Tamandua tetradactyla: one gene and its partner. The protein of the gene in region 1 interacts with the protein of each later gene in a pairwise test. Links are inferred from orthologs where the notes say so. Each region holds a gene or a part of one and is shown in the gene's direction. Other genes may lie near its edges.

Region 1 (10,020 bases):
GGCTGTGCTACATGTTGCGCTCTCTCATTTAAGCACCAGCCAATTAAGTTAAACATCATTCATTGCAGCAGGCACGCCTCCTAGCCGACTGCAGGTGTAATCAGCAACAGATAAGGTTCATGTACCATTGGCTCACGTCCACAGCAACAGAACTAGGTGACTTCACCTGCCCAAGTTGACAACTGAATCTAACTACCACAGATGGTAAGCAAGCCAGAATCCAGAGTTGTGCCCCAGAGAAGCTAAGTCAAGGCCCACAGATACCAAGGGAGGAATGGAGCCCAGGAGCAAGGGACAGCACATGCCAGCCACATGCCTTCCCAGCTGACAGAGGTGTTCCAGATAGTATAAGCCTTTCTTGAGTGAAGATAACCATTTGTTGGTACCTTAGTTTGGACATTTTCTCTGCACTAGAACTGTAAATTTGTAACTTTTTAAATTCCATTTTTAAAAGCCATTGCATTTCAACAGCTTAGCAAACTAATTCAGCCAACTGGGCACCATCATCTGGCTATGCTGACACATTAATCTAACCATTACACACATATACAATATAAAATGTCCCATTTAAACCACATTGAAGCAGATAATTCAGAGGTATTATTTACTTTCATAATGTTGTGCTGCCATTACCACCATTAATTAGCAAAACTTTTCCATCACCCAAAAAGAAACTCTGTAGCTATTAAGCATTAACTCATCATTCCCCACCACACCCCTCCCCCACCCGATAACATATAATCTTCCGTCTCTATGAATTTGTATATTCTAATTTTTCACTTGTATGCAATTCTGCAATGTTTGTCCTTTTTTGTCTTATTTCACTCCACATGATATCTTTGAGGTTCATCCATGTTGTGGTGTCTATCAGTACTTCATTTCATTTTATATTCTTTCGTATGTAAAAACCACTTTTTGTTTATTCATTCATCTGTTGATGGATACTTGAGTTACTCCTATTTTTTGGCAATTGTGAATAATGCCACTATGAACATCAGTGTGCAAATATCTATTCAAATCCCTGCTTTTAATTCTTCTGGGTACATACTAGACGTGGAATTGCCAGGTCATATTAATTCTATACTTAACCTTATGTGGAGCCACAAACTGCTTTCCACAGCAGCTGCACCGTTTTACATTTCTATCAACAATATATGAATGTTCCTATTTCTCTGCAGTTTCATCAACACATTTTTTTTTAATAACATTTTCTTAATACTAGCCATTCTAATGGGTGTGAAATGGTATTTCATTGTGGTTTTGACTTACATTTCCCTAATTGGTTAATGATGTTGAATAGCTTTTCATTGTCATAGTGGCCATTTTATATATATTTTTGAGAAATACTTATTTAAATCTTTCGTAATTTTAAAATTGGATTGTCTTTCTGTTGTTGAGTTGTAGAAGTTCTTTATATATTCTAGTTATCAAACCCTTATTAAATATATATTTTTCAAATATTTTTTCTCATTCTATAGCTAGCCTTTTCACTTTTCTTAAAAATGCCCTCTGATGGAGATATTTTTTTACTGTTGATGAAATCCAGCTAATTTTTTCTTCGGTTGGAAAGTCTGAGAATCCATTGTCTAATATACGTCCTGAAGATATCTCCTTATGTTTTCTTCTAAGCATTTTATAGTTTTAGCTCTTATATTTACATCATTGATCCATTTTAAGTTAATTTTTATATGTGGTGTGTTTTAGTTTGTCAGTGCTGCCAGAACACAACATACCAGAAACAGAATGGATTTTTTTTTTTTTTGGGTGCATGGTCCAGGATTGAACCTGGGTCTCCCACATGGAAGACAAGCATTCTACCACTGAACCACCTGCGCACCCTGGGACAGCTTTTAAAAAGGGAATTTATTAAGCTGCAAGTTCACAGTTCTAAGGCTATAAAACTGTTCAAACCAAGGCATCCAGGGAAAGATACCTTGGCTCAAGAAGGCTGATGTGTCCAGAATACCTCTGTCTGCTGGGAAAGTGTGTTACTGGCATCTGCTGGGGTCTTTGGCTTCTTGTTTCAAACAGCTCCCTGAGAGTGTTTTCTTTCTTCATCTTCAAATGTCTGGGTCTCTTGTTGGCTCTGACGCTTTTTCCAAAATTGTTTCCTCTTAGAGGACTCCAGTACTCAACCCCATCTTGAATGGGTGAAGACAAATCTCCATGGAAACCAACTAATCAAAAGGTCCCACCCACAGTTGGGTGGATCACATCTCCACGGAAATGACTTAATTAAAAAAAAATCCCACCCAGCAATATTTAAATAGGATTAAAGAACATGGCTTTTCTGGGGTATACAAGTTTCAAACCAACACATGGTATGACGTAAAGGTCTGCTTTCTTTCTTTCGTATGTGGAAATCCAGTTTTTCCAGCACTATTTTTGAAGAGACCATCTTTTTTCCCCACTGAGTGGACTTGGCAACCTTGCCAAATTCAATTAGCATTAGATATGTGGGTTTACTTCTGAATTTTCAATTTTATTCCATCGGTCTGTATGTCTGTTTTTTTGTGCCATTATCACACTGCTTTGATTAATGGAGCTTTGTAATAAATTCTGAAATTGTGAAGTGTGAGTCCTTACCTTTCTTCTTCTTTTTCAAGATATATTTGGCTATTCAGGATTTCTTACCTTGCCTATGAATTTGAGAATTGGATTTTTCCACCTCTGCAAAGAAATATTTTGGAATTTTGATTGGAAGTGCATTGAATCTGTTTATTAAATTTGAAGGGCAGCACCCAGGAACACTGTAGGTATTTAATATATGTTGGTCAAGTAAATGAGCTCCTAGGAAGAGCTTGTTCACAGACTTATGTTTGGAATGGCTGCCACCAGGTTCATTAAAAAAAAAAACTCATATTCTATTTGCTACTCTCATTATTAAAGCTACCTACAGTTTCCTCAAACTTCAATTTAAAATGTAGCTAGGTGATTCTGAGCAACTCATTTACTCACTCTAGTGTTTAGCTTCCTTATTTGCAAAAAGAGAATAGCTTTACTGGCTTGCTGTGAGGACAAAATGATATAACACATGTTAAAATACTTCCTAAACCTCAAAATGCTATGCAAATGCTTATTACTACAGAATTTATAAAGTCAGTTCATTGTGCATTTTAATTTATAACTACCATCTTGTAGACTCTCTTACCCACTACCCTACTCAACCATTCTCTATCAACCGGCTTTCCACCCTTTATCTTTTTCCAGTTGTTTAGTTTACTGATACTGCGGCTTAGAATCACTAATCTCTGCAAGGCACCACTTGATGGGCCCTAGAGAAAAACAAACTGATATTCTATAAGGTTTGTTCAAAACCAGAAATACACAGTAAGAAAGTATAAGGTTTAGATTATAGAAAAAGCAACATGTACCAGGAGAAGTAGGGACAGAAGTACACAGGAGACGCTAAGAATAGGCTCTCCGAACCCCAGTTCTACTTTTTATTCTAGCTTTCTAAACGTTTCTTGTCCTCAGTTTCCTTATCTGAGGATCAGAGATGAAAATAGTACTTCAAAGAATATTATGAAATTTAAATGAGATGGTATTTATAAAATACTTAAGAACAGTGCATGGAACATTGCAAACAATTTATTTATAATTAATATAAACTGATAAAGTGGCTGACAGTAAGCAGGAAAGTAAGAATAGGTTTGCAAGTTCACAAAAGCAATTACTGAATGTTAGTTGCAGTAGTTTTGTATTTTCTCATAAACTTCTTCAAGCCCTAATTCTTGGACTGCAGTACACTTTCTTCTTTCTTATAAAATCTACCCCTCTTGGTCTGATTTTTTTTTTTTATACAACATCAGTTCAAAATACTGAAGGCAGCAACAATAAAGTAATTATAACCTCAATGTACACAACTTTTGTACTATTAAATACAAAGGAGCAAGTATGCTATTAATCTGTATGACATAAACGTTTGTTTCCTATGGTATAGTTGGGAGTTGGAATACGGAGTACAGAAGAGGAAGGTGAGATTCAAAGCTAAAAGGGTTCATAGCATTTTACTCTTTTTTTTTTTTTTCCACATGGGCAGGCACCGGGAATCAAACCCAGGTCCTTGGGCATGGCAGGCAAGCATTCTTACCTGCTGAGCCACCATGGCCCACCCGACTCATAGCATTTTAGGTAGCAGCACTAAAGGTCTTTCCTGATACTTGGCATGGAGAGGAACCATTCAGCAGACAAAGCCACCATTCCCTGATTATGCTTTTAACATTCTTTACCCTAGCCATGACATCCACTGACTACATGTTCTCTCTTCATTACAAAGAATAAGGTTTTTTACTACTACAAACTGATGAACTAACTGTTGGTTACCCCTGATGTTTCTTGCTTGGCCCGAGGTGTTTCGCATAGCCATGACATCCACTGACTACATGTTCTCTCTTCATTACAAAGAATAAGGGTTTTTACTACTACAAACTGATGAACTAACTGTTGGTTACCCCTGATGTTTCTTGCTTGGCCCGAGGTGTTTCGAAATACTGATTGCTAACATTTAAACATCCAGAGAGTTCACACAAAAACCCAGTTTTAGGGGTTCTCCTGGGGTAAAAAAGGAAGCGATTATCTCAGGACACTGGACATACATTTCTTCAGGTGAGACGCATCTGCTTCCTCTGGTGATGCGTGGACACTTCAATTTGCCATTCTGTATTCCCTATTACCTTACATCAAGCCAGCTTCACTGATTTGCTTTACTCGTCTGGCTTCTCTAGACATATGAGTCAGCAAATTCTATCTAGACCTTTCCTGTCTCCCATCAAAGGTCACCTGATTCTGTCCCAAGTCCCTCATCAGCTTTTACAAAGAAATAGGTAATCTGATCAAATACGGGTACTATCTGAGATAGTATCTTAACAGAAAGGGATGATTCTGCAGGTACAAATTACAGGCACCAACGGTTCACAATCAGGATAACTTTCCGTTCTACTTTGCCTATCCGGACATAGCCATATTTCACTGCCTTGTGGCAGACCAAAGTAATCACTTTTTTTTTTTTTTTTTTAGTGTAGAAGAACGAATGTGTGAAATCTACTCAAACTGGACTTTCACAGATCACTCCAGTTCCAAAGGACTTCAACCACTATGGGCTCATTTTTTTCTCCATTTCCTCAGAGGCTTCCGAACATGCGGCCTGACGGAATTTCTCACCTACTTTTGGGACCGGTTTTGCAGTCCACACAGTCTACACAAGGAGCGCGCGCAACCAGCATGAGCTCATTTCTCAGAGGCGTTTCCAGAAGGCCCAAACTGGACGCGCGCATCTAGGCGCAGTCGGCCTCATTCTAGCTATGGCTCCAGCAGCTGGGTGGGGCACGACCGCTCAGAGATGCTGCCTTTCTGGAAGCTTTGTTTCCACTTTAGCACCCGGCCACGGTGAAAACTCGCATCCTGCCAAGGAAGCTCCCTTGGCTCGTTGAGCCCTTTTGGGGAAGACGCAGGTACATCGGACTCACGATCCCGGGCTCAGGGAAGCCTCAGACACGCAGTTTTGGCCGTGCCCCGCAGACAGCCTTTATTTGGTGGAAGAACTCCTCGACATTCCTCCGTTTAAAAGCTCGGAGCCCAGTCCCACCCACCGCAGACATTTCGGATGGGGGTGCAAAAAGTCCGAGCTACCTGCACGGCCTGACAGCAGTCGCATAAACCTCCGTCAGGCTGGCACCACTACTCCAGTTAAGGTTCTCCCAGATACTAGGACTGCCGCCGCAGGCTGAAAACCAATCACACTACAGCTATGTCTTGCGATAAGACGGCAGTGAGTTTCGATTGGCTATCGCTAAGAGCTTCGCCCTCCCTCCCTTTCCTTTTGCCCCCCACACCAGCGCCAAAGTTTCAAGCCAATGAGAAGGCATTTTATAGACGTCCTCTCTTCGCTTTCTTCTGCTCCGCACCACGGCGAGGGAGGAGACGTCGTAACTGGCTAGACTATTCTCGGAAGCCTCCTTTCCCCTCACCAATCACCCAGCGAGGTATAATCCCAGCCGAGTTTTTCAGCCAATTATAAAGAGGCAGCGGTGCCCAACCGCGCAATTTCACCAGCGACTCCCAGGTTCATCGTCCTTAACTCTTCGTGCTTTTTCGTGAGGGCGACTGACTCTGATTGGTCACTGCTGCATTGTCGATTTTCTCTTCCGTCCAGCCATAGAACAAGGCGAATCCACCTTTATCCCGTTCGGCTATCTTCGACAATCTTCGCTCTTTGGGTGTGGGTTACCAGCGACACTTTCTAATTGGTTCCTCAAGCCGATCGGCTCTTTCCGGAGGAGTCTCAAACAAACGGCGTCGTGATTGGCCCAACTCGGTCTTCGGCTTCTCAGCCGAAGTGGGCGGGTGCGAGCTCGGTCGGCGATTCCCAGACGCCTGTTACGCGGGCGGTGGGGCTCTAGGCGGGGTAAGGCTGGGTGGGGGAGGAAGGAGGCGGAGGACGAGTAGGAAGGGGGAGGGGGGTGAGGAAGAGCTAGGCGACTGCGCAGACGACGCTCCTCACACAGAACAGCCCCGACCCAGGCGAATGCGGGTTTGTGCTGCTGCTGCCGCCGCCCGGGCCGAGTGACAAAGGAAGGAAGGAGGGAAGCGAGGAGTAGCCGACCCCGCAGCCGCTGACAAGGCTTCGGGCTGAGGGCAAAGCGCCGACACTTCCTCAGCGGACACGGAGCAGAGGCTAGGGGTGGGAGGGCGGCCGCGCTGGTGCGGTGGACGGGGGAGGGGGCCCCGAGGGACGGAAGCGGTTGCCGGGTTCCCATGTCCCCGGCGTATGGGGAGCAGTCGAGGAGCCGCTGCCTGGGGTCTGAAGGGAGCTGCCTCCGCTACCGCCGCCGCCATGGCCGCTGGATCCAGCCGCCGCCTGCAGCTGCTCCTGGCGCAATGAGAAGAGGATCTGCTGCCACCGCCCGCTTCTGACTGACTCGCGACTCAGCCGCCCTCTAGTTCGCGGGGCCCCTGCCGTCAGTCCGCCAGATCCCGCCGCCGCCGCCGCCGGAGCCGCAGCGTTTCCCGTCGCATCTCCGAGGCACCCCCTCCCTCTCCTTCCCTCCTTCCCATCCCCCTTCTCTTCAAGCGTGAGACTCGTGATCCTTCCGCCGCTTCCCTTCTTCATTGACTCGGAAAAAAAATCCCCGAGGAATATATAATATTCTAAGTGCTTATTTTCAATCAAGTATTTGTCCCCGTTTCACGTGAGTTTTTTTTTTTTTTTTTAGGATCCCTCCTTTTCTTCCCCTCCCCCAGGAAAGGGAGGGGAAAGAATTGTATTTTTTTTCCCCATCCCCAAATCATCTATATGTTAAATATCCGTACCGATCTGTCTTGAAGGAGAAATACATCGATCGTTTTTTATAGCTATACAAAAGGAGTGAAAAGCCAAGAGGACGAAGTCTTTTTTTATTTTTCCTGTGGGAGAACTTAATGCTGCATTTATCATTAACCTAACAACCCAATACAAAGCAAAAGGAAGAAAAGGAGGAAGGAAGGAAAAGAAGGTGATTCGGGGAGACAGGATCATGTCAGGGCGGCCCAGAACCACCTCCTTTGCGGAGAGCTGCAAGCCAGTGCAGCAGCCTTCAGCTTTTGGCAGCATGAAAGTTAGCAGTGAGTATTGATTTTAATTTACCCCCCTTCGCTACCTCACCTTTAGAATACGGAACCTTGAAATACTAGGGTTTAAAAATTTTGGGCCTCCCGATTTAACAATCTGGTTTACGAAAAAGGGCAAAATTAGTCTTCAGTAAAGGATGAGGCAGCTCCCTCTTTTCTCCTCTCGTATCCCCTTCCCCTGTCTCATTAACCTTGAATTGGCAGAATAGGATTTGTATTTGGATGAATTGATATGAAACTTTTGTTTTTTAATAGTTTTTCTTGCTGTTGGTAGTCAGTTTTATCGAGTGTTTTGAGTGTTTTCGTGTTAAAATAGTGATGAAAGTGTTTACTTGCTTATTCTCTTGAATAAAGAAAACAAGACTTGTTTCATAAGACATGTACGCTTGCGGAGTGTACTTTTTTTGAGTGAGGGAGGATATTGAATACAGTTTCGTATATTTAATAGATGCTCTAAATATCACATCCCCCTAACATGTTTTTCTTGCTTGTGTGACTATACAAAGTATTGTTCTTAATCCGGGGGTGAACTTGATCAGGAACCAACCTTTATGTTTGAAGTGAGCATTGACTCCTCTCCTTGGAACTGGCGTTTGGGAGCCCATAGCTATCCAGCAGCAGTACCATCTCTACATGCATTGTCTTAAATTGAATAAGTGGTTTAATGCACTTTTTTTTATGCTTCCATTTTGACATTACCAGTTTAACACTAATTTGTTTAGTCAAAAGGTAACTTGAAAGTAGGTATAAGTTTTGAGGTTTGTAATGTCATATTGCCAAATACTAGGTTACATGTTAATTGCCACTGATTCATTGTCATTTAAGTTCAATTTGGGGGTGTCTTTGCATTCATTACTTTTAAATGTTCTAGAGTACAGGGGTCCTCTATTAGGACTATTTAAAACACTCTTATCTTGGCTTCCTGTTACATTTAGAAAGAATATGAATTTAATGATAAGAATATGGATTTAGCTCTTTTTGTCACGGCTTTGCAAAAGCCTGTGGCCCTGGATATAATAGGGTTATTTGGGCTGTGCTTGATAGGAGCTGTTGCCAGACTGTACTCTTGTCCTGGATTTGTGCTGAAAAGTCCATGTTCGTGAGGTGGTTGGTATACTAAGTATCTGATGTTCTATTGTATCTCTGTTTGTGGAGATGTTTATTGTATATTTGATGAAGTGTTTAATGACAGCTTATTTAAATATACTTCCAGAATTTGTCAGAAATGTGTGTATTGTCTCCTTTTTCCTCCAGAGAGGGGCATAATGAGATAAAAAACAAGCTCTTGCTGCCTAGAACAGAAAACTGAGGAACTGAGATTTAAAAATATATATATATATATGCTATTACATGTACAATGATTACTTTTAATTGAATTTAAGATTTCAAATCATGTGGCTTTTTGAGTCCAGGTTTATAGCTGAATGGCAGATTAATTTTTTAAGTTAATCCCCCTTCCCCCTCGTGACTAGACTAGCTAGTAGAGAATGCAGGGTATGTAAAGAGGCAAGCTGATTATGCATCTTTAAAGGAATAGACAGGCTTTCTAAGCACCTCATGGGGTCAGTTGAAAGGAATTGTTTAAAATTCTGGGCTAATTTTCCACTATGATGAAGCAAATCTTATAATAGCCTCTTAAGAGCCTCTTGTGGTACTGGAGTGCTTGTACACGTTTTACATTTTGGTAATATTGTTTAAAAACTACTCGAGATCAATTTAGGTAATTAATTCATTAAATCTGCTTCAGAGAACAAAACGGAATAGCTAATTCTAAGTTTTTGGACTTTTCCTTTTGTTTCCAGGATTTTCTTTGAAAATGATTGTTAGTTCTTGATAATACGGATGTTGACTGAGGGTAGAGTAACTCTTAGAAAGTGTGTAGATTAAAATGTTTTTAAATTGTATTTAGATTAATTTAACATTTAAAAAGTTGGAGTTCAGTGCTAATTATGTTTTTGAAGACCTTGAAGGGCATTTTTAGAAGAAAGGGGAGTCCTTAAGAACCTATTTAAATGCTAGAATTCTAAGGGACCCTGTTCAAAACAAAGATTTCTAAGAAGTTAAGGTCCTTGGCCTCATGAGCCTATCATTTAGTTGTGAAGGCAGGTTTATGGGATAAAATATGAAAACAGTTGCATGATGACTGCAGGGTGATAAAATACAAGTGTAATCTTTTGTTCTGAGGGACAAAGAATAAAAGGGTTGAAGCAGATGAGTTGGAAAGGGAACATTTTCTGTAGAAGGTGAGTTTTAAGATAGGCTTTAAAGGAGGCAAAACTTGAATTGATGGAGAAGCAAGAAGTATTAGTATTCTAAATGGAAGAAATGGGCAGAGGCACAGAGGTGGTGATTTTGTGTGGGAGGCAGCAGCAAGATGGCAAATCTGAATTAAAGAGGCCTGAAAACGAAAAT
Region 2 (10,210 bases), on another chromosome or scaffold:
AAGCCCTGGGGGCCGGCACTGACTCCAGCTGTCCCCTGCCCCCAGATCTGCCACAGCAAGAGCGGGGAGATCAACCCCGTGAAGGTGAGCAACCTGGTGCGCGCCTACGTCCAGCGCTACCGCTACTTCCGCAAGCACGGCCGCAAGCCCGGAGACCCACCAGGGCCCCCACGGCCGTCCAAGGAGCCTGGACCCCCCGACAAGGGTGGCCCAGGCTTGCCCCTGCCCCCTCTCTGAGACCCCAGCCATCTGTCTCCCTCCCTGGCCCCTTCGAAAGTCTGGACATATTTATGGCTCTGCCTCCCCACTCCCCTTCCCCGTCAGTGGGATGATTGGGGGAGGGCGGCTGCAGGGAAGAGGAGAGCCCCCCACCCTGCCCTGCCTCCTGCCCAGCTCCCTTGTCCCCAAGCCTGTCCCCATCACTTCTCCCTTTTGTTCGTGTCCTTCCCCCCAATTTCATTAAAGATTTCATGAAATGTTACCCCAAGCCTGGCTGTTAGCCCTTTTCAGAGATAAATGAAGATGCAGGTGGGTTAAGCTCTTAGAGCAGTCCCTGGTCCAGTGAGCTACTGGTAGCCTTCACTGTGGGCAAAGTGCTGCTGGTCTCATCAGTGGCTCCCGACCTCAGGGGCTGTCTGCCCACCTTGGAATTGCCTCCAGGAGTGCGATCTTTGCCCCCCTATTGAGTTGGATTTTCTTCCACAGCCCCACAAGGCTGGGCTCACCTAGTCCACTCTCCTACACCGGAGGCGGAGGTGCCCACCCGGGCTCCATCATCCCCATCCGCAGGAGAGGCCCGGGTCACACAACAGGACTTGGGCCAAATCTGGAAGAGGGTCCAAGGCCCCCCGCAGAAGCGGAGGTTGGCAGGAAGTGCTCTGCTTGTTGACCATCATCCCAGCCCTCATAGGCAGGGCAGGCCGGGGCCGATTCTGCCTTGGGGTCTCCCTGTGGAGCCGCACCCCTGCTCCCACTCAGACCTGGGTCCCGCCTGGCTCACACTTCCTGCCCTGTGGCCTCTGCCCCTCCCCAGGCCTCGTGTCTTGGTCTGTAAAGCAAGAGTGACTGCCACCTACCCCCGGCTCAGGTAAGGCAATGAGCACCAGCTGCCTGCCTGGCCACCACCCACAGGTAGATAAACTGAGACCCCACTTGGGTTGGGACTGGTCTGGGCACACCCAACTCTAGACACACAAGGGGTAGCAGGAACTGCTTTATTGGCAGTGATGAGGGTAGGACAGGGCTCAGGCCTCCCCCATGGCCTGCCAATCCATCTTCTCAACCAGGTCCTGGAGGCAGACCTTTAACTGGCTGGAGGTAAGCGAGAGCGGCTGGCTGTTGGAAATATGCAGATCCACAGTGTTCTCCAGGGAGGAGGCGCCCCCGACCCGGGCGATGTCCAGCAGGGCCCTGAGGCACGTGGGAACGACCTGCAGGGCGTTGGGGAGACAGTCGGGGCACGGCATGTCCCAGCCAGTCTCAGCCCTGGGGCAGATGGGAGACTACAACCGCAGCCCAGGAGGACCATCAGACTGCTGGGAATTTCAGTGTCCCTTGAATTCACATCCAGGGTCAGGGTAGGTGCTGCGGCTTTGGGAGGAGTTCCCAGAAGCCCCTCAGGCTGAGCTGCCTGTCAGAAGGACACCTGGGAGTTGTAGTTCCTTGGAGAGGCTGCTGGGACTGGAAGTCCACAACCTGCACACAGCCCACAGAGCTCGAAGCAGGCTCCTGGGGCAAAGCCGGGTGAAGTCCACCTGGGGATGAGGGACTGGTGGCTGAGAGACTAGGAGACGTTGTAGCCTCTCAGAGGGGCTTCTGGGAGTGCTGGTTCCTGGAGTTACCCTTTGCCTGGTGAGACCCACCCACTCAGCTAGGGGGCCAGGGCTGCAGGTACCTTGACCATCACAAGCTTCTTGACCCATGGCTGGTCCTCCTGGGGCCACGACTCCCCCAGGCAGAACCAGAGTGTGTAGCGTGGCGAGCGTCTGCTTTGTTCAGTGAAGGCGATCAGATCTGAAGGGTCCAGGAGCCTAGTCAGGGATTGGGAGAGGATTCTCTTCCCACCCCCAAACCTGAGTCACGGACACCCCCCTCTTCCCTGACCAAAGGCCCATCACTCCTCAGGCGTAAACTGGGGTGTTCCTCCCTCTTCCCTCTCAGTGGGGTAGGGCTGAAAGAGCCTTCTCCCCAATCCCCATCCTGAGCCTTAGCATTCAGGATGAGGGAAACTGAGGCCCAGAGGAGTGGGGGGTGGGGGGGCCCATTGGTCCCCCAAGGGTGCTCAGTGATTCTGCTAATAAAAGGTGATTGGTGTATTCTGCTCCTTCACTCCCAAGATCTGGAGGTGAGTATGTTTGATACACAGCCATCAGCCCCATACAGCTATTTCCATTTAAGCTGCTACAAATCAGAATGAAATAAAATATTCAGTTCCTCACGTAAGCGCTCAGCAGCCACTTTTGGCTTGTGGCTGCCACCCCAGATAACACAGAGGCAGTGCTTTCTTATTGTGCCAGTAAGTTCCACCAGGGAGCGCCAGCCTCAAGGATTTATCGTTCTAGGTGATTTATCTCTCAACCACAAAAATTAATGAGAATAGTGGTGATGGCAATGGCAGCTAATTCTCAGAGCACCTTCTGTCTATGGGGCCCTGCATCTCCTACCAGCTCCAGGTAGACAGGCAGAGAGGAGAGACAGGCTTGGGACAGGAGCATCCTTTGCCCTGGGCTACCCAGCAGTCAGGGCATCGGGGCAGAGGCTGTAGCCTCGGCTGCCGGGCCCCAGCCTCGCTCACCTGCCACAAAGGGTCTTAAGTCAAACACACTTCCATCCATGTTCTTCGGGACCTCGCCCCCTGGCCGGTGCTTGCTGTCAGGGAGCAGCTCCTCACCCATAGCCCAGTACACATGGCACTGCCCCAGCCTCCGTGCCCAGAGCCGCTGTCCTGCCCGCCACAGGGCCAGGCCTCCTCCCAGGCAGCTCAGCACGCGCCGCACATAGCACACCGTGCCCTGGTCCGTCAGGGCTCTCTCAGGGTCTGGCAGTCTTATCCGCTGCCCAGGAAGCGCCAGGTCCTCAGGCTCTGACCCCACGAGCCGCAGGCCCCCCGGACAGAAGACTGTCTCCTGCAAGGTTTGGCGGCCCCGGTAGAACACAGTCACCTCGAACTCCCACTCTGAACGGAAGCAGTAGAGATGGAGAGAGCAGGAGTGTAAGGGGGTCCACGGCTCTGGCCGCAGCCCCTCCCACTCCGCAGCTGGCACTCACCGTCCTCAGTAAGCAACAGCCCCCTCAGTGGGTTTTCAGGGGCTTCCGAGTTTGGGCAGGGAGCGTGGATGTCCAAGCAGGGGCTCAGCGGGAGCTGAGGGGGTGGCTCAGGGGCCACAGCCAGGCCCAAGGGGCCCCCATCTGGCAGAGGGGCCAAGATCATATCACCCAGTAACTCTTCCAAAATGTCCTCCTGTTGAGGGAAAGGGAAGGAGACATCGAGATTCCTCTCTGGAGACTTCAAAAGGACGGGGCCTTGAGCTCAGCACCATGGGGGCTCCACCACGGAGGGGCCAGACCTGACCAGATCTAAGCCTCGCCCACCCCTGCATGGACAGCAGGGTAGAAGCTCCGACCCATGCCATGGGCTCAGGACCCCCTTGGGTGGGAGGGGTAGCTAATTTCAACCCGTTGATCTGGCTCCATGCCAGAAGGGGCTTTCCCTGGCCCAGAGGTCCACAAGGTCAGGTGTAGGAACCTACTGAATTTATAAAAGGCTGAAGGCTCCCTGCAAAGCAAGGAAAGCTCTCAAACCTGGAAAGGGGAGTCAGGGCTTTGAACATCTAGTGAAGGTTGAATATCCCCCCAGAAGGCTACAAGCTGATGAGGGGCAGGGTCAGCTCTGGGTCCAGGTGGGGACAATGGACCACGGAGCGGGTGGCAAGGCCTGTACAGGCAGGAGGAGAGAGAGGAGAAAGAACCAGGCAGCAAGGCCAGGGGTGCAGGGCTGGGGCATGCCCTTACCTGGATATTTGGGATACTGTCTCTGCCATTGGTGTCTGGAGATGCATTCGGCTCAGGAGAGTGCCCTACTCCTGTCGAAGAAGGCAGTGAGCAGAGTAGGGGTGCAGGGGACCCCTGCCAGCCCGGCCCTCCACGCAAAGACCTACTCCTGACACACCTGCGTTGACAAACTCATAGATCTTGTGTGGGTCGAGGGGGTCCTTGCTCCGGTCTTCCACAACACGCAAATCCTCCTTTCGGTTCAGAGCCGACCGGAAGTTCCTCTTCCAGGTGGGCCGGTCTTCCTTATCTTTCCCAGGAGTGTAAGCGCCGCTAGCTTCAGCCCAGGCCTGGAGGGACGGTGGGAACGGGGGAGTGACTTAGACCCCGCCCTCCGGGGTGCTAACTCAGCCGCTTGGTATCCTAACACTGCCCTCTTACTGGCGCTTCCTGACTCAGCAAGGTCCCCACCCTTCAATTCCCGGGTTCTCCGTGCCTCAGGTCCCCACCTGAGCACCCAAAGACCTGGGCTCTCTCCCTCTGCCCTCCGGGTCCTATCCGGAGCCGCGCCCCGCTACCAGCGGCCCCAGGACATCCCCGAAATAACCCGCCTCCTGCCCTCCAACTCCCCAAGCCGCCCCGCGGGTGCCCTAGTCTGCTGGTAAGAGGTCCCAATTAGGGACTCTGAACCTCGTCCCCGTGACTCCTGGACCCGTCCCAAGATTGCATTTCCTCCGCCTACGGAGCCCCCCCTTCCTGGTTCCACGGTGGGGGTGGGGGGTGGGAAAAGGGCATTCCCACCCAGCCAGACGCCCGCCCACCTCCGCCCGGCGCACCAGCCCCGGAAGTTCAATACCCGTCGCCAGACCCCGGCCCGGAAGGCTACGCCCGCCTCCCCTCTTCATCCCAGAATCGGCCGCCCGCCGGGACCCGCCAGAGCTATCCGGGCCCGGGCCCACGCACCTGGAAGATGCGGAAGTCCTCCTGCTGCGCATCCTGCCGCAGGCCGTGCTTCCAGGGGATGCGGAAGCGCGTGCGGCTCGCGTCCACCCAGGCCACGCCCTCCAGCTGCCCCAGGTCGAGCTGCACACGCAGCCAGGGCAGGATCCGCGGCTTTTGGGCGCTCATCGTCCGGCCTGCGCGCGGGGGTGGGGGCGGGCAGTGCCTGGGCGCCAGAGGCCTCCACCTGCCCACGCGGCCCGGGCACCCCGCACCCAGACCTCCCTTTCCCGGTACCTCGGGGGCAGATCCCTCAGCCGCGTCGACTCCCTCTTAGCTGGCCCGCCGGAGAGCAACTTCTCCCCCCGTCCCAAAGTAGCCCCCCAACTAAGCAAGGACTCCCTCCCATCTCCAACCGTCCCCAATTTCTGCGGTGCACCTGAACTTCTCCAGTGTAGACGCTTCTCCCATTGCGCCCCACCCTCCCCCAGGACCCAATGCACACACACCCCCACTTCCACACCGGAGCCCTCCCTGATTATTTCCGTATAGACGCTACCTCCGCGGATCGCCCTCGAGTTCCCCCCGGAAGATCCCAGCCTCAACTCCCGGCTTCCAGAGATCTCCAGCCACAATACTCCCCGCGCGATAGGGCACGCCCCCACTTTCTAGACTATCTCTTTTTGCAGAGGAAACTTGTCCTCCCCTCCGTCCCGCGCCGTGGGTCCCTGTCCCTTCCTCCTGCACCTAATGACCTAGGCCACTGCCTCCTGCAGCTTCTCCCGCAGTTTCCCAGCGTGGCCCTTTCTTGTCCCCAGAGTGCACACTCTCCCCATCGCCCCTTCCTCTAGCGCCTCCTCAGTCTGCGACCTCCCCAACACCCTCCCCAGCTCTTCCGCGTTACTCACCTCGGGACTCGCCTCTGTCTTCTGGGCTCCGGGATAGCTCTCCAACTCCAAGCGGCGCACCTGACTTCCCTCCAGCCGGACGTCAGAGCCGTGGGACTTTCTTTGCTACCGACGTCTTGGGATAAAACCCTTTATATAATTTGGGTATAATGATATGCACACCCTCCGGATCTTTTTAGGCAATCCGGTCACAGGCAAGGCATGCTGGGAATGCATATGCAAATAAGAGGGCAGCCGGCGCTCTGGCCCTGCCCTGTCTTGGTGCCGCCCACCCCGCCCAGTGCGCAGGCGTGGGAACGGTAACTTCGAAAGTTTGCCGAAGTTGCAGCGCGGGAGGCGGCGGAGGCGGGGTCGGGGATCAGGTGAGCCGAGCCCTGGCGAGCACCAGGGCGAGCAGGGAAGAGGAGGGGGTCGCGACCCCGAAGCGGGCAGCGCATCCCCGCCTCAACGACACCCAAACGTCCCAGGCCCCCAAACTCCAGCCTCAGCCAGATACGGAACTACACCTCCCAGCAGGCTACGCAGCAAATGAGCGCAGACCGAGGGGAATTTGGCACGAAGCCCTCAGGGATTGGTAATTCTCCGTCCTGGCTGGGCTTCGGTAGCTTGGCTTGGAATCCAGGGGTCGGAGCCCCCAGCCCCCTCCTCCCTGAGACTCAGGAGTCCAGGCCCCCGGTACCCTCCTCTTCCAGGATCCAGGAGTCTTGTCTCAGTGCCTCCTCAGCCCCCTTCTCCCTCTCAAATTCAGGAGTCCAGTCTCCCCAGTCTCCTCCTCCCTTAGACCCAGAAGTTCAGCCCCCAGCCCCTTCCTCTCCCAGGATCCAGGAACCGCAGTCCCCACTCCTCCCATGGGGACCCAGGAGGACGCGCCTCTGACCCTTCCTCCTTCAGGTGCCAAGCCTCCTCTTCCATGTGGACCCTGCGTTCCAGTGCCTGGCTTCCCATCTCACAGGTGCCCCTATGGCAGGCTCAGAGGAGTTGGGGCTCCGGGATGACACACTGAGGGTCCTAGCCGCCTTCCTTAAGCAGGGCGAGGTGTCTGGGTCCCCCGTTACAGCTGCACCCAGGTAAGAAGGGTTGTCCTCCTCCCCTCAAGGGTCCATCTTTGGGGTGGGTCCCTCTCTGACTCTTGCTTCTGGTCTCACTCTGTCTCCTTCCTTCCCTTCATACCTGGTTCTTTTCCCCCGTCCCTGGGGCTACAGGGAGAGGCCCTCAGTGGGAGGAAGAAGGGACTGCTTGCAGGAGGCCTCTGGGGTCACTCTCTGAGGTTCTCCTCTCCAGGAGTCCCACCCAGGAGCAGCCAGCCGACTTCCTGAGCCGCCTTCGCCGATGCCTTCCCTGCCCCCTAGGGCGAGGAGACGTTCCCCCTGACTCCCCTCGGCCTTGCTCCCTGCCCCTCCGCCCCTGCTACAGTTCAGGGCCTGGTAAGAGATTTCCCCAGATCACCTGTGAAACCAGCAGGGCCAAGAGCCTTGATTCCTGAAGCACAGATGAGATCAGGAACTAGTTCAAGACCTCAGTAAGCCTCACCATCCTGCCCTGCCCCAGGAAATCTCTATTTGGGCTGGCTGTGAGAGGCCTGTTGGTTCCTCTCTCTTTGTCATCTCTCTCCTTCCATCCATGCCTCCCTCTCCCCAGACTTTTCTAGTCACAAGTGCCCCCCAGTAGGGAAGGAGAAATGATTTTCAGTCATGCCACTCAGGTTTTGGGGTTGGAAGCTCAACCAAAAATCCTTTCCCTTCCTTGTACCTCCACTCTCCAAAGGCAAAACTAGGAGACTAGTTTAGACTTAAGCAAGAATGGAACAGGTTTCCTCTCATGTGAGTCTGGGAAGACTAGTAATGAGAAGATAAGCACTGAGATCACTGGGTGATGCACGAAGTGGGCCAGACCCAGGGCAGAAAGAGCAGAAAGAACACTATTAGTTTTTCTACCTTGGATGGGAACATCTCCAAGGTTCCGTTTAGCCCTCACATTCTAAGTCCAGATTGGGGGCATGAAGTAGAAAGAACCAGGGTGTGGGGGTCTTTTCAAGCTTGTTCACTGTACTTTGGTGTCCCCCCCCCCCCATTATAAAATGGAAATCATTGCCCCATGGTTGAGAGAAGGAAAGAATGTAGAAGTCACTGATTCCTTTCACCCCAGGCCCGGCTACTCCAGACTTCTATGCCCTGGTGGCCCAGCGGTTGGAACAGCTGGTCCAAGAGCAACTTAGATCCCCACCTAGCCCAGGTGAGGTGCAGAGGCACCGCGCGGGAGGTCGGGAGGTCGGGAGGTAGCAGGGTAGCCACAGTTCGCCCCCAGCAGAATTCTTTTGCCTCCAGAGTTACAGGGTCCCCCACTCACGGAGAAAGAAGCCCTGCTGCGGAGGCTGGTGGCCTTGCTGGAGGAGGAGGCTGAAGTCATCAACGAGAAGGTGATGGTCCATCTCTTCCGTTTCTCAAGGAGGATGGGAATTGGCGGTTGGCAAGGCATTGGGACGAGAAGCTAGATCTGCATTTTCATTGGCTGGTCAGAAGGGGAGTGGGTGGGACAAACCTTAGAGAAAGAGTTGAGTGACAGGAAGTATGGCCAGGGGAGTACTTTAGGCTACTGGCTGTCATTGGCTTAGAGGGGCGTGACCTGTATGTGAAGGGCGTGGCCGTCAGAGGCAAGATCTAGGCAGGAAATTGGGCTAAATTGGATATGTGAGAGGAGGTATCCTTAGGTGGGGGGAAGCGAGACTGTTTAAAATCTGAGGCTCGGATTGACTTCAGCGAGGTCATGGCTTAGAGTGGAACGGACTGCTGGAGGGGGCATGCCTTGCGGCCGAGCTCTCGAATCTGATAACTCCAGAGCTTGGGCAGAATACATGGCTTTACGACAATAGAATGGCAGAGGCCCAGGTTCTTATAGGCCTTAGTTAGGGTTCCGGGGCTCTGATTGGCTCGGCAGGACTAAGGGGGCGTGGCTGAGAGATAAACAGTCTAGAACTCCGCTGCTGTAGAGGTTGGTCCTGATTGGCTGTCGAAACCTAAGGCATGGCTTAGCGTCTGTTTCTAGACCCCGCCCCTGGAACTAATTTCTCTGAGCCCCTAGAACGTGCCTTATAATGAGTTGCTGTTATAGGTGGGGGCGGGGCTTAGAGTCAATTTCTAGGTCTCCTCAGGCCCCCGCGTGGGGGCGTGGCTGAGGTGGGCTCTGCCCCTTCTGTCCCCACCCCACAGCTGGCCTCGGACCCCGCCCTGCGCCGCAAACTGGCCCGCCTCTCCGCCGCCTCTTTCGCGCGCCTCGTGGAGCTCTTTTCCAGCCGCGGGAGCGGCCCGGGCCCCGCACATGCCTCGCAGCCGTGCCCCGGACCCCCTCCGCCCTCCCCGGAGCCCCTGGCGCGCCTGGCCCTGGCCCTGGAGCTGAGCCGGCGCGTGGCCCACCTGGGGGGCACCCTGGCGGGACTCAGCGTGGAGCACGTGCACAGCTTTGCGCCCTGGATCCAGGCCCACGGGGGCTGGGTGAGCCGTCGCAGCGCCTTCCGGGCCTCGCAGCACTCGACTGAGCTGTGTGTGTGGGGGGGGGCGGCTTCTCAGGCTCCCCTTCCAACTGGCAAGTGCCCCCCCCCATTGAAGCCCTCCGTTCCTCTTGTGCACCAGGCACAGGGGATCGGTGCAGAGGCTCTTCCTGTCTTAAATGGTTCTACCATGCCGATGACCCCCGTGAGCCCCGAAACTAACCACTGTCCCTCCTGGCGCCTCTACACGTCTGTAAAGTGGGGGGAGTGGTTGGATTAGGATGGGATACTTGGAGGGTGCTGGCTCCGCGGGGACATTTGGTGCCTGGCTGTCCCCCTGTGGCTGTCCGAGTGCCCTTCCCGGCTATTCCTCTGCCTCCCCTCTTTGCTAATTTACTCAGGGAGGCCCCCCTCACCTCCACTGGGATTCTCAGCCATCTCCCTGCCCTTCCACCCTCTCCCTTCCTTCTCCTGCTTTCCTTCATCCCACCGCATTCACACCTTCTAACAGACGCTCGTGTAGAGCTCACTTGTTTTGCATGTTTGCAGCAGCTACTTAGGATCAAGATTTTCTCCCTTGTCTGCCCGCTGCCAGCGCCCTCTAAGGGCTGGATTAGGGCCCATTGTTCTGGCCTTGCGACCTTGGCAGCCTTTAGCAACAGTCTTGTCCCCGAGCCCGTCTGCCGCCTGCCCAGTGCTCACGGTTTCCTTCGCGGACCCGCCCCGTAAATCACAGTGGGAGCAGTGAGAGGAGGCCGTGCGGGGCTCATGAAATGGAGCCATCATCGCGCAAACGGGCAGCAGCGGGCGAGTGTGGCTGGAGCAGGATGAGCGAGGCAGGGGGCGGGGGGATTTGGGCGGGGGGCGGGTGAGGAGTGTCCAGATCCTG

The links.
Region 2: the proteins of GSK3B (region 1) and BCL2L12 interact in a two-hybrid assay, tested with the Homo sapiens proteins (2 studies listed by BioGRID and IntAct). The link is inferred for Tamandua tetradactyla from reciprocal best matches to the Homo sapiens genes GSK3B and BCL2L12.

What each region holds. Positions count from the first base shown.
Region 1 is NC_135336.1:25,801,176-25,811,195, forward strand, and holds the start of GSK3B (glycogen synthase kinase-3 beta), read left to right. Parts: upstream 1-6,052; 5' UTR 6,053-6,406; intron 6,407-6,412; exon of another isoform or gene 6,413-7,214; 5' UTR 7,215-7,514; coding exon 7,515-7,602; intron 7,603-10,020. UniProt on the Homo sapiens protein: Constitutively active protein kinase that acts as a negative regulator in the hormonal control of glucose homeostasis, Wnt signaling and regulation of transcription factors and microtubules, by phosphorylating and inactivating glycogen synthase (GYS1 or GYS2), EIF2B, CTNNB1/beta-catenin, APC, AXIN1, DPYSL2/CRMP2, JUN, NFATC1/NFATC, MAPT/TAU and MACF1.
Region 2 is NC_135342.1:11,487,958-11,498,167, reverse strand, and holds the start of BCL2L12 (bcl-2-like protein 12), read left to right. Parts: upstream 1-6,094; 5' UTR 6,095-6,199; exon of another isoform or gene 6,200-6,304; 5' UTR 6,305-6,365; coding exon 6,366-6,411; intron 6,412-6,728; exon of another isoform or gene 6,729-6,789; coding exon 6,790-6,904; intron 6,905-7,118; coding exon 7,119-7,261; intron 7,262-7,982; coding exon 7,983-8,069; intron 8,070-8,144; exon of another isoform or gene 8,145-8,161; coding exon 8,162-8,253; exon of another isoform or gene 8,254-8,669; intron 8,670-9,043; coding exon 9,044-9,325; intron 9,326-10,210. Other genes in the region: SCAF1 (splicing factor, arginine/serine-rich 19), read left to right, coding at 46-237; IRF3 (interferon regulatory factor 3), read right to left, coding at 1,245-1,430, 1,895-2,013, 2,795-3,175, 3,268-3,460, 4,012-4,082, 4,169-4,340, 4,954-5,118.